3 linked regions of the Anolis sagrei genome follow. The protein of the gene in region 2 interacts with the protein of the main gene of each other region in a pairwise test. Links are inferred from orthologs where the notes say so. Each region holds a gene or a part of one and is shown on either strand. Other genes may lie near its edges.

Evidence for each region.
Region 1: the proteins of GRN (region 2) and SMAD9 interact in binary tests that used the Homo sapiens proteins (3 or more experiments, as listed by UniProt). The link is inferred for Anolis sagrei from reciprocal best matches to the Homo sapiens genes GRN and SMAD9.
Region 3: the proteins of GRN (region 2) and PRKAB2 interact in binary tests that used the Homo sapiens proteins (3 or more experiments, as listed by UniProt). The link is inferred for Anolis sagrei from reciprocal best matches to the Homo sapiens genes GRN and PRKAB2.

The regions. Positions count from the first base shown.
Region 1 is NC_090023.1:35,686,695-35,690,444, reverse strand, and holds the start of SMAD9 (mothers against decapentaplegic homolog 9), read left to right. Parts: upstream 1-979; 5' UTR 980-1,272; intron 1,273-3,750. UniProt on the Homo sapiens protein: Transcriptional modulator activated by BMP (bone morphogenetic proteins) type 1 receptor kinase. SMAD9 is a receptor-regulated SMAD (R-SMAD).
Region 2 is NC_090026.1:47,779,062-47,782,811, reverse strand, and holds the start of GRN (progranulin), read left to right. Parts: upstream 1-1,441; 5' UTR 1,442-1,523; intron 1,524-3,750. UniProt on the Homo sapiens protein: Secreted protein that acts as a key regulator of lysosomal function and as a growth factor involved in inflammation, wound healing and cell proliferation. Regulates protein trafficking to lysosomes, and also the activity of lysosomal enzymes.
Region 3 is NC_090024.1:132,489,396-132,493,145, reverse strand, and holds the start of PRKAB2 (5'-AMP-activated protein kinase subunit beta-2), read left to right. Parts: upstream 1-1,128; 5' UTR 1,129-1,238; intron 1,239-1,406; exon of another isoform or gene 1,407-1,531; intron 1,532-3,750. UniProt on the Homo sapiens protein: Non-catalytic subunit of AMP-activated protein kinase (AMPK), an energy sensor protein kinase that plays a key role in regulating cellular energy metabolism.

The sequences.
Region 1 (3,750 bases), on a different chromosome or scaffold from region 2:
GCTCTACTTAAGCACTTAAGAACGGAAAACGAAACGTTGGTGGACAGGAAAAGAGATTTAAAGATGGGCTCAAAGCCAACCTTAAAAACTCTGGCATAGACACTGAGAACTGGGAAGCCCTGGCCCTTGAGCGCTCCAGCTGGAGGACAGCTGTGACCAGCAGTGCTGCAGAATTTGAGGAGGCACGAGTGGAGGGTGAAATAGTGAAATGTGCCAGGAGGAAGGCGCGTCAAGCCAACCCCGACCGGGACCACCTTCCACCTGGAAACCAATGCCCTCACTGCAGAAGAAGATGCAGAGCAAGAATAGGGCTCCACAGCCACATACGGACCCACAAGGAAATCCATAATGGAAGACCATCTTACTCGTCCAACGAGGGATCGCCTAAGTAAGTAAGTAATTGGCAATCTGGTCTCTGGTTCCTCTGCCTTTTCTAAACCCAGCTTGAACATCTGGCAACTCTCGCTCCATGTGTTGCTGGAGTCTTCCTTGCAGGATCTTCAGCATTACCTTACTGGCATGAGAAATAAGGGCCACTGTACGGAAGTTTGATGCTAGCGGGGTACAAATAAAGATAATAATAATAATAATAATAATAATGACTCTCTGCCCCGGAGTGTGGCGGAGGCTCTTTCTTTGGAGGCTTTTAAGCAGAGGCTGGATGGCCACCTGTCGGGGGTGCGTTGAATGCGATTTTCCTGCTTCTTGGCAGGGGGTTGGATTGCATGGCCTCTTTCAACTCTTATGATTCCTCCTCCGCCCTGCTCCTTTCTTAATGCCCTCCCCGCCCACTTCCAGAGCGAAGGGTCCCTTCAGTGTGGCTGAGACTAGAGGTCTGAAAGGCCAGGGCGCGCGCTCCCGCGAGGCCCTCCTTCGGTGTGCGCGCGCCCCCGAGTCCCAGCCGGGCTTGGTTCTCCGTCCGTCCCTCGGCGCGCGCACTTGCCCGCGCGCCCAGCCAGCCAGCCAGCCAACCATCCATCCAGCCAGCCAGAAGGGATTCCTGGCCGCGTTCCAGGTCGGCGCACTAATACAAGCTCCGAGGCTCCCGCCTGACTGACGCCGGCTGGAGGCTGCTTGCTTGCTTGCTTGCCTGCCTGCCTGCCTCGTTGCTTGCGGCCGCTTCTTCTTCGTCTTCTTCCTCCTCCTCCTCCTCTTGCGGGGCGATTTCGTAGCCGCGTCCCTCCTTCCAGTTGGCCAAGGGAGGGGGCAAAAAGGGGAGCCGCTCTTGCAGAAATTGCCGCAGCCCTACGGACAGAATCGCCCTCCGGACAGGTAGGACAGAGGGGGCTGGGGAATGGGTATTATTATTATTCTGTGAATGCAAAACAATACAAGAATTGGCACGGATCCTTTTCCTTTCCTTTCTGTCGCACCTTCCTGCTCTCTCAACTTTGCAAACTTTTTTTTTCTCTCCCTTTGGCACCGCGTCTCAGGCATCTTCCAGGAAGGTGCGAAGCTGTGAAGCGGACCCTCGGGAGGACTGTGTGTTTGGCAGCCGCTGCCCCGGGATTCCTTGGAAGGGGCTTCCCCTCGCCTTGCATTGCGTGGCTCACCCAAACCCCGGAGGCAGGCTGTCCCAGGGGGGAAAAAAGTAGACACCTTTGAACAGCTAATAGGAACTCTGGGGTTTAGTTGAAGGCTAAGGAAAGGCATGCATATGGAAGGAGGAATGTTAGAGGAGGGATTGCATCAGGGCTACGAATGGAATCGTCAACTACAGGTGTCTGAATTGTCCTTCTGCAGCAAGGCACTGGCTTGCATTGTCCAGAGTCCAGGCTTGGGCCAACTTGTTCCCTCCTTCCTGGTATTTTGGACTTCAACTCCCACCATTCCTAACAGCCTCAGGCCCCTTCCTTTCCCCCCTCAGCCGCTTAAGCGGCTGAGGGGGAAAGGAAGGGGCCTGAAGCTGTTAGGAATGGTGGGAGTTGAAGTCCAAAACACCAGGAAGGAGGGGCCAAGTTTGCCATTGCCCTATCCAGACTCTGAGTTGCAAACCTCTCTTCAAACTACCTGGTCATTTTCCCACACTTTCCTACCATTGGAATCCTTCATGTATTCTTTGTTGTCCAAGGCTTTCATGGCTGGAATCACTGGGTTGCTGTGAGTTTTCCGACCTGTCTGACCATGCTACAGAAGCGTTCTCTCCTGACGTTTCGCAGGCATCCTTTGAGGTTGCGAGGTCTGTTGGAAAGTAAGCAAGTTAAGTTTCTATATCTGTGGAATGTCCCAGATGGGAGAAAGAACTGTTGTCTGCTTGAGGCAGGTGTGAACGTTGCAGTTGGCCAACTTTATTAGTTTTGAATGGCCTTGGGTAATTGTATGATAGCTGGGTCCACCTGCTACGAGTGTTACGCTGTTTCCGCTCCACTCCTTGGAAACTATTGTTGGTGCAACGCAGAACACAACACATGACCGAGACAGGGGCGGAGTGAGAGACTGAGGTAATGTAAGCCAGGCCGGACACAGATATTATAGAAGGAATGTAAGAGTCTTTTAATGGTAAAACCCATACCCAAATGCTAAACCTTACCCTAAGCTTAACCCCAAATCCTAAACCTAACCTTAAACTGGAATGTGTCCAGAGGAGGGCGACTAAAATGATCAAGGGTCTGGAGAACAAGCCCTATGAGGAGCGGCTTAAGGAGCTGGGCATGTTTAGCCTGAAGAAGAGAAGGCTGAGAGGAGATATGATAGCTATGTATAAATATGTGAGAGGAGCCACAGGGAGGAGGGAGCAAGCTTGTTTTCTGCTTCCTTGGAGACTAGGACGCAAAACAATGGCTTCAAACTACAAGAAAGGAGATTCCATCTGAACATGAGGAAAAACTTCCAGACTGTGAGAGCCATTCAGCAGTGGAACTCTCTGCCCCAGAGTGTGGCTTCTTCTTTGGAAGTTTTTAAACAGAGGCTGGATGGCCATCTGTCAGGGGTGATTTGAATGCAATATTCCTGCTTCTTGGCAGGGGTTGGACTGGATGGCCCATGAGGTCTCTTCCAACTCTTTGATTCTATGATTCTATGAAACCTAACCCTAAACCTTACTCTAACCCTAAACCTTATCCTAACCCTCCCTTCCTTTCTATCCTTCCACCAAATGCAACTACGAAATATATTCCCGCCCTCACTGTGGCGCTCTCCCCGCTCTCATTCCGCCCCTCTCTCAACCATGTGATCCCTTTCCTTATTCACAACCACCTTTACAGCATCTGCATAATGCTCGTAGCAGGCGGACCCAGCTATCTTACTATCGGCTATCCTTACAGCTGGGCTGTACAGGCCAATGCAAATTCCACCACATTTGTTTATTTATAAATAAATAAGTAAATGTGGTGGCTCCCAAACATGAATCAAGGCACAGCAGACTAACTCAACCAGAGAAGTCAGCCATAGCAGAGCACCTGATGAACCAACCTGGACATAGCATATTATTTGAGAACACAGAAATGCTGGACCACTGTAACAACTACCATGTCAGAGAAGCCAATGAAATCCACATTTATTTATTTATCTATTGTATCTGGAGCGAACCAAGGGTACAGTTGTGATGTATGCATTTAAAAACACAAAATTTAAAATCTTGGCATTCTATTAAATGCCAAGTAGCTGGTCACTTGGAGTGCCTCTGGTGTTGCTCTAAACTCAATTTTTCATATGGCAGGGCTCAGAATGCATTGTAATAGGTGGTTTGTAGTTTGCTCTTCTCCACACTCACATGTCATGGGCTCCATCTTGTGGCCCCATTTCTTAAGG
Region 2 (3,750 bases):
GAATTGGACACAATAGTCCAGGTGTGGTCTAACCAAGGCAGAATAGGGCTAAACATGCCTGGCTCTTTAAGCCGCTCCTCATAGGGCTTGTTCTCCAGACCCTTGATCATTTTAGTCACCCTCAACACCCCTCTTCAATTGTGGTGCCCAGAATTGGACACAATATTCCAGGTGTGGTCTAACCAAGGCAGAACAGGGCTAAACATGCTGAGCTCTTTAAGCCGCTCCTCATAGGGCTTGTCCTCCAGACCCTTGATCATTTTTAGCCGCCCTCCTCTTGACACGTTCCAGCTTGTCATCCCACTTCAATTGTGGTGCCCAGAATTGGACACAATATTCCAGGTGTGGTCTAACCAAGGCAGAATAGGGCTAAACATGCCTAGCTCTTTAAGCCGCTCCTCATAGGGCTTGTTCTCCAGACCCTTGATCATTTTAGTTGCCCTCCTCTGGACACATTCCAGCTTGTCAACACCCCTCTTCAATTGTGGTGCCCAGGATTGGACACAATATTCCAGGTGTGGTCCAACCAAGGCAGAACAGGGCTAAACATGCCCAGCTCTTTAAGCCGCTTCTCATAGGGCTTGTTCTCCAGACCCTTGATCATTTTAGTCACATTCCAGCTTGTCAACACCCCTCTTCAATTGTGGTGCCCAGGATAGGACACAATATTCCAGGTGTGGTCGAACCAAGGCAGAAGAGGGCTAAACATGCTGAGCTCTTTAAGCCGCTCCTTATAGGGCTTGTTCTCCAGACCCTTGATCACTTTAGTTACCCTCCTCTGGACACATTCCAGCTTGTCAACACCCCTCTTCATTTGTGGTGCCCAGAATTGAACACAATATTCCAGATGTGGTCTAACCAAGGCAGAATAGGGCTAAACATGCTGAGCTCCTTAAGCCGCTCCTCATAGGGCTTGTTCTCCAGACCCTTGATCATTTTAGCCTCCCTCTGTTTTAGGCCAATTTGGAGCCTTATTAGAGTACTAGAAAACAATAATCCTATGATTCCACAGCATTAAAGTGGTGTCAAACCGAATTAATTCCACAGTGTAGCCTGGAAAGTGACTTTTGGGGGGGGGGGGGGACTACAATTACCACAATGTTGACAAGGATTCTGGAAAGTGTGATTTAAAAAAACAAAACCAAGCCATTTTCCCTGCCCTCTGCATGCACTCAGAGACACCCTTCTCGGTTACCACTTCCGGGTTTAATGCCTGGCCTGACCCCTCTTTTTTCTTTTCTTCCCTTCTGTCACGTGCGATCCTTCCCAACCCGAGGAGATCATGCGCGCCTTTGAAAAATTGAGAAAGAGGGTCATATGATCGCCTCTGCCAAGACCCACTGCGGTAGGATGGGCCCAAGCTGCGAACCAGCCAATCAAATACGAGGAACCGGCGTTCTACCTACCTACGCCACGCCCCCCTGGGGAAAAACAACCAATCCCCTTGCGGTAGGAAGAGAGTGCATTCTCTGAGCCAGTCTGTGCATTAGCGGGTTGGAACTGGCTGCAGTGGGAAAGCCTGGGTGAGTTGTGTTTACATTGGAATTGTATAGAATACTTTTCAAAATCACTGTTAGGCGTTTTGAGTTTAGTTAAGAGAGCAAAAGCGGCATATAGATCAAAGTAATGATGATGATGATGATAGTAGTTGTAGTAGAAATTATAATAATAATCATCATAATAATAGTTGTAGTAATGATAGAGTAATAATAATAATAATAATAATAATAATAACTAGCTGTCCCCTGCCATGCGTTGCTGTGGCCCAGTCTGGTGATCTGGAAAATAAAGTAATGAGAAAGTGTTGGTTCCTAATATATGTAATTTATTTATACTTGTGGATAAACAGTATTTTTGCTGTATTGTCGAAGGCTTTCATGGCTGGAATCACTAGGTTCTTGTGGGTTTTTTCGGGCTATATGGCCATGTTCTAGAGGCATTTTCTCCTGACGTTTCGCCTGCATCTATGGCAAGCATCCTCAGAGGTAGTGAGGTCTGTTGGAGTTTGGAAAATGGGTTTATTTATATATCTGTGGAATGACTGGGGTGGGGCAAAGTGCTCTTCTCTGCTGGAGCTAGGTGTGAATGTTTCAACTGACCACCTTGGTCATGTTTCAACTGACTGGTCATGTTTCAACTGACCAATGAGCATTTGAAGGCCTAGCTGAGCCTGGGGGAATCTTTTGTTGAGAGGTGTTAAGATGTGCCTGGTTGTTTCCTCTCTGCTGTTTTGCTGTTGTAATTTTAGTTTTTTTAAATACTGGTAGCCAGATTTTGATTCCCCCAGGCTCAGCCAGGCCTTCAAATGCTAATGAAGACGGTCAGTTGAAACATTCACACCTAGCTCCAGCAGAGAAGAGCTCTTTGTCCAACCCCAGTCATTCCACAGAAATATAAACCCATGTTCCAAACTCCAACAGACCTCACTACCTCTGAGGATGCTTGCCATAGATGCAGGCGAAATGTCAGGAGAAAATGCCTCTAGAACGTGGCCATATAGCCCGAAAAAAACCCACAAGAACCTAGTATTTCTTGCTGTTTCTTTGTCAGTGTTGATGTGGAGATTATCTGGTTTGCCCACCCTGGAACATGCAACATAGAATTGTCCTTCTTTAGGGGTTCCTTTCAAATCTATGATACTATATCTCTCTCTGTGAATCATATATATATCTATAGCTGGATGGCTCTTTGTCAGGAGGGCTTTGATTATTTTTTCTTGCCCTGGTGAAGGGAGTTGGACTGGATGGCCATAAGTATTTTCTGTTGGTCATGGGGGTTCTGTGTGGGAAGTTTGCCCCAATTCTGTCATTCGTGGGGTTCAGAATGCTCTTTGATTGTAGGTGAACTATAAATCCCAGTAACTACAAATCCCAAATGTCAAGTTCTCTTTTCCCCAAACTCCATCTGTGCTCACATTTGGGCATATGGAATATTCGTGCCAAGTTTGGTCCAGATCCATCATTGTTTGAGTCCACAGTGCTCGCTGGATGGAGGTGAACTACAACTCCCAAATTCAAGGTCAATGCTCATCAAAACCTTCTAGTGTTTTCTGTTGATCATGGGAGTCCTGTGTGCCACGTTTGGTTCAATTCCCTCATTGGTGGAGTTCAGAATGCTCTTTGATTGTAGGTTAACTATAAAGCCCAGCAACTACAACTCCCAAATGACAAAATCAATTTTTTGAGTGATTGTCACTCGTTGGCCTGATAGGTATCTTGTGTCCAAATTTGGTGTCAATTCGTCCAGTGGTTTTTGAGTTATGTTAATCCCACAAACGAACATTACAATTTTTATTTATATAGATATATCAGCCATGATAGGCAACAAATGCCTTCCTGTTCAGTGAGAGATTTGAAGTATAGCCAGCTAGGGACTCCTGCTTTCTCATTTCCTGGCTTCCAGAATGCATCTACACTGTAGAATTAAAGCAGTTTGATACCACTTTAACTGCCATGACAATACTATGGAGTTATGGGTATTGTAGAATTTACAAGGTCATTCTTTAGCCTTTTCTGCCAAGGAGTGCTGGTGCCTCACCAAACTGATTCCTCACAGTTAAAGTGGTACCAAACTGCATTAACTCTACAGTGTAGATGCCCCCTGGGTTAGATGGAACTGATCTGTGTTGTTATGGTTGGCGGCATCTACGCGATGGAATTAATGCAGTTTGGAACTACTTTAACTGCCAATGCTGTAGAACCATAGGAACTGTTATCTTCAGTTATCTCTGCCGAAAAGTATGCAGGATTG
Region 3 (3,750 bases), on a different chromosome or scaffold from region 2:
AGCTCTTTAAGCCGCTCCTCATAGGGCTTGTTCTCCAGACCCTTGATCATTTTAGTCGCCCTCCTCTGGACACATTCCAGCTTGTAGAAATCTTCGTGAGTCTCCGAAATCTTCGTGAAATCTTCGTCATCTCTCTTCAATTGTGGTGCCCAGAATTGGACACAATATTCCAGGTGTGGTCTAACCAAAGCAGAATAGAGGGGTAGCATTACTTCCCTAGATCTAGACACTATGCTCTTATTGATGCAGGCCAAAATCCCACTGGCTTTTTTTGCCGCCACATCACATTGTTGGCTCATGTTTAACTTGTTGTCCACGGGGACTCCAAGATCTTTTTCACACATACTGCTCTTGAGCCAGGCATTGTCCCCCATTCTATATCTTTGCATTTTGTTTTTCCTGCCAAAGTGCAGTATCTTGCATTTTTCACTGTTGAACTTCATTTTGTTAGTTTTGGCCCATCTCTCTAGTCTGTCAAGATCGTTTTGAGTCACTTAAATGGGTCACTTTGGGAACCATTGCTGTCCAAGACTGTTACAACAGTTTTGGGTATGTGGATATATACCACCGAAGACAAAATTTTACTCAAACGGGTTTTTGGCTCTTTGGAAGAGCATACTTGTACGAAAGATTATGATTTTCAAATGGTTGTGAATGCCATTTGTTTCCCAAAAGGTTATGGAGATTTTGGTTTTTCAAAATATCCTGTGCCAGCAATGTCCCTCTGCAGTTTGCATTGGACAAACACTTCCATCCTAGGCCTCCTCCAACTAGCTATTTGGGCCTCCAACTCCCAGAATTCCTAACCATTGAAGAAGCTGGCGAGGGCTTCTGGGAGTTGGAGACCCACACTGCAGGAGAAGGCCTGCTCTATATGCAGGAAGGGAATGGACACAAATCAGGCGGTAGAACTGGAGAGGGAGGGAGTGAGGGGGAGGCGTCCCGATTCCTATCCTTCTCTCCCTGAGGCCGTGATAAGGCTCACATAAGGTATAACTATTTACTTCATTGACTGCCGACTCCTAGACTGTTACACGTCCGCCATTCCCATTCCCAGAGAAGGCCTCAACACCGGAAGCGGAACATATTTTCCCTTTTCCGCTTCCCGCTCTCGCTCGCTCTGTTTTCGGGGCAGGAGAGGCAAGCCGAGCAGCGTCATGCGCATGCGCAGTTCTTTTTTCTCCACTGCCATCTTGCCCGAAGAGGAGGAGGAGGAGGAGGAGGAGGCCGCCCTGAGGGTGAGTGCAGAGCTCCTCCTCAGACTTCTTCGGGAAGGGCCCGAAGTTGCTCCGGGAGGGGAAGGAAGGGCAAGGCAGGGCTGCCATGGCGGCTTTTGGGACAAGGCTCAACCCCCCCCCCCCCGGCCTGAGGACATTCAAACAAGGCTCTAATTGTGTTGTCGAAGGCTTTTATGGTCGAAAACACTGGGTTGCTGTGAGCTTTTTCGGGTTGTATGGCCATGTTCCTGTAGCATTCTCTCCTGACGTTTCGCCTGCATCTGTGGCAGGCATCCTCAGATGTTCTGTTGATGGTGAGGCAAGTGGAATGTCTATACTTCCTGACTGTGAGAGCCGTTCAGCAGTGGAACTCTCTGCCCCAGAGTGTGGTAAAGGCTCCTTCTTTGGAAGTTTTGAAACAGAGGCTGGATGGCCATCTGTCGGGGGTGCTTTGAATGCATTTTTCCTGCTTCTTGGCAGGGGGTTGGACTGGCTGGCCCATGAGGTCTCTTCCAACTATATGATTCTATCTCTCAGAGATGCGCCCAGCTCTGTTCAACATCTTTATTAATGTATTGTCGAAGGCTTTCATGGCCGGAATCACTGGGTTGTTGTAGGTTTTTTCGGGGTATATGGCCATGGTCTAGAGGCATTCTCTCCTGACGTTTCGCCTGCATCTATGGCAAGCATCCTCAGAGGTAGTGAGGTCTGTTGGAACTAGGAAAAAGGGTTTATATATCTGTGGAATGACCAGGGTGGGACAAAGGACTCTTGTCTGCTGGAGCTAGGTGTGAATGTTTCAACTGACCACCTTGATTAGCATTTGATGGCCTGACAGTGCCTAGAGCAAACTTTGTTGAGAAGTAATTAGATGTCCTTGTTTGTTTCCTCTCTGTTGTTGTGCTGTTGTAATTTTAGAGTTTTAATACTGGTAGCCAGATTTTGTTCATTTTCATGGTTTCCTCCTTTCTGTTGAAATTGTCCACATGCTTATGTATTTCAATGGCTTCTCTGTGTAGCCTGACGTGGTGGTTGTGAGAGTGGTCCAGCATTTCTGTGTTCTCAAATAAAATGCTGTGTCCAGGTTGGTTCATCAGGTGGATTTATGAGGAAACACAACATACAAACTATCTACAGACCCACCAAAAAATCCAACAAATGCTACGTTCAGTAAAGGACAAGAGGGATCCTCTCACTTCTGCAGGAGTCTACCGTGTACCATGTAGCTGTGGACAAGTCTACATAGGGACCACCAAACACAGCATTGCCCAAACACGAATCAAGGAACATGAAAGGCACTGCAGACTACTTCATCCAGAGAAGTCAGCCATAGCAGAGCACCTGATGAAAAACATGAAATGCAAAGCTACAGGATGTGTGACGCTTAGTTCAAGAACAGTCCATGTGAGACAGATCTTGGAGTCTTCGTGGACAACAAGTTGAACATGAACCAACAAAGCCAATGGGATTTTGGGCTACATCAAAAGGAATCTAGTGTCTAGATTGAGGAAAGTCATGATGCCTTTGTATTCTGCTTTGGTTAGACCTCAGTTGGAATACTGTCTCCAATTCTGGGCACCACTATTGTTGTTGCTGTTGCTGTTGTTGTTGTTGTTATTATTATTATATTTATTTCTATCCCGCTTTTCTCCTGCGATGGTACTCAAAGAGGCATAAAGCATGTAAAATCAAGACAATTACAAACAAAAAATACAAACATGAACTCCAACTAATGAGAAATTAACAATTTAAGACATTAAAACATTAAACTCCCATTACCTATGACAGCTAGCATAAAACTAGCATAGCAACATAAATTAAAAACATACCAGTTAAACCCATGTAATGTCCTATTAATTTATGCCATGAAACAAACCAGTTACTGACGGTCTACTATATAGTTGACATATTGCACATCAGAATGCCTGTCAATCTACTGGTCTTCGTTGGGGAGACCAGTAGAAATAACTGGTCTCCCCAACTTGCTTCCGAAATAACAGCAGTGAGGGGGCTGTACTAACCATTTTTGGGAGGGAGTTCCAGAACTGCGGGGCCACCATTGAAAAGGCTCTCTCTTATTCTCACCAGCCGTGCTTGAGATGATGGTGGGACCGAGAATAGGGCCTCTCCTGATTACCTTAGGGCTCATATGGGCTCATAGGAGGAGATGCAGTCCAATAAGTACGCTGGGCCCCAACTGTTTAGGGCTTTATAGATTAAAGCCAGCACCTTGAATTGCGTCCACAAACAAACTGGCAGCCAGTGTAGTTGTTTTAGGAGAGGGGTAGTTCTTTCCCTATACTCTGCTCCTGTGAGCAATCTGGCAGCTGACCTTTGCACCAGTTGAAGTTTCTGAACGCCCCTCTAGCACAGACCTACCTAGAGTGCGATACAGTAATCTAAAATGGATGTGACTAAGGTGTGTATCACCATGGTCAGTTCCACCATGGCCACTTCAAAAGCAATATTGACAAGCTGGAAGGTGTCCAGAGGAGGGCCTCTAAAATGATCAAAGTTCTTGAGATTGTAAGTA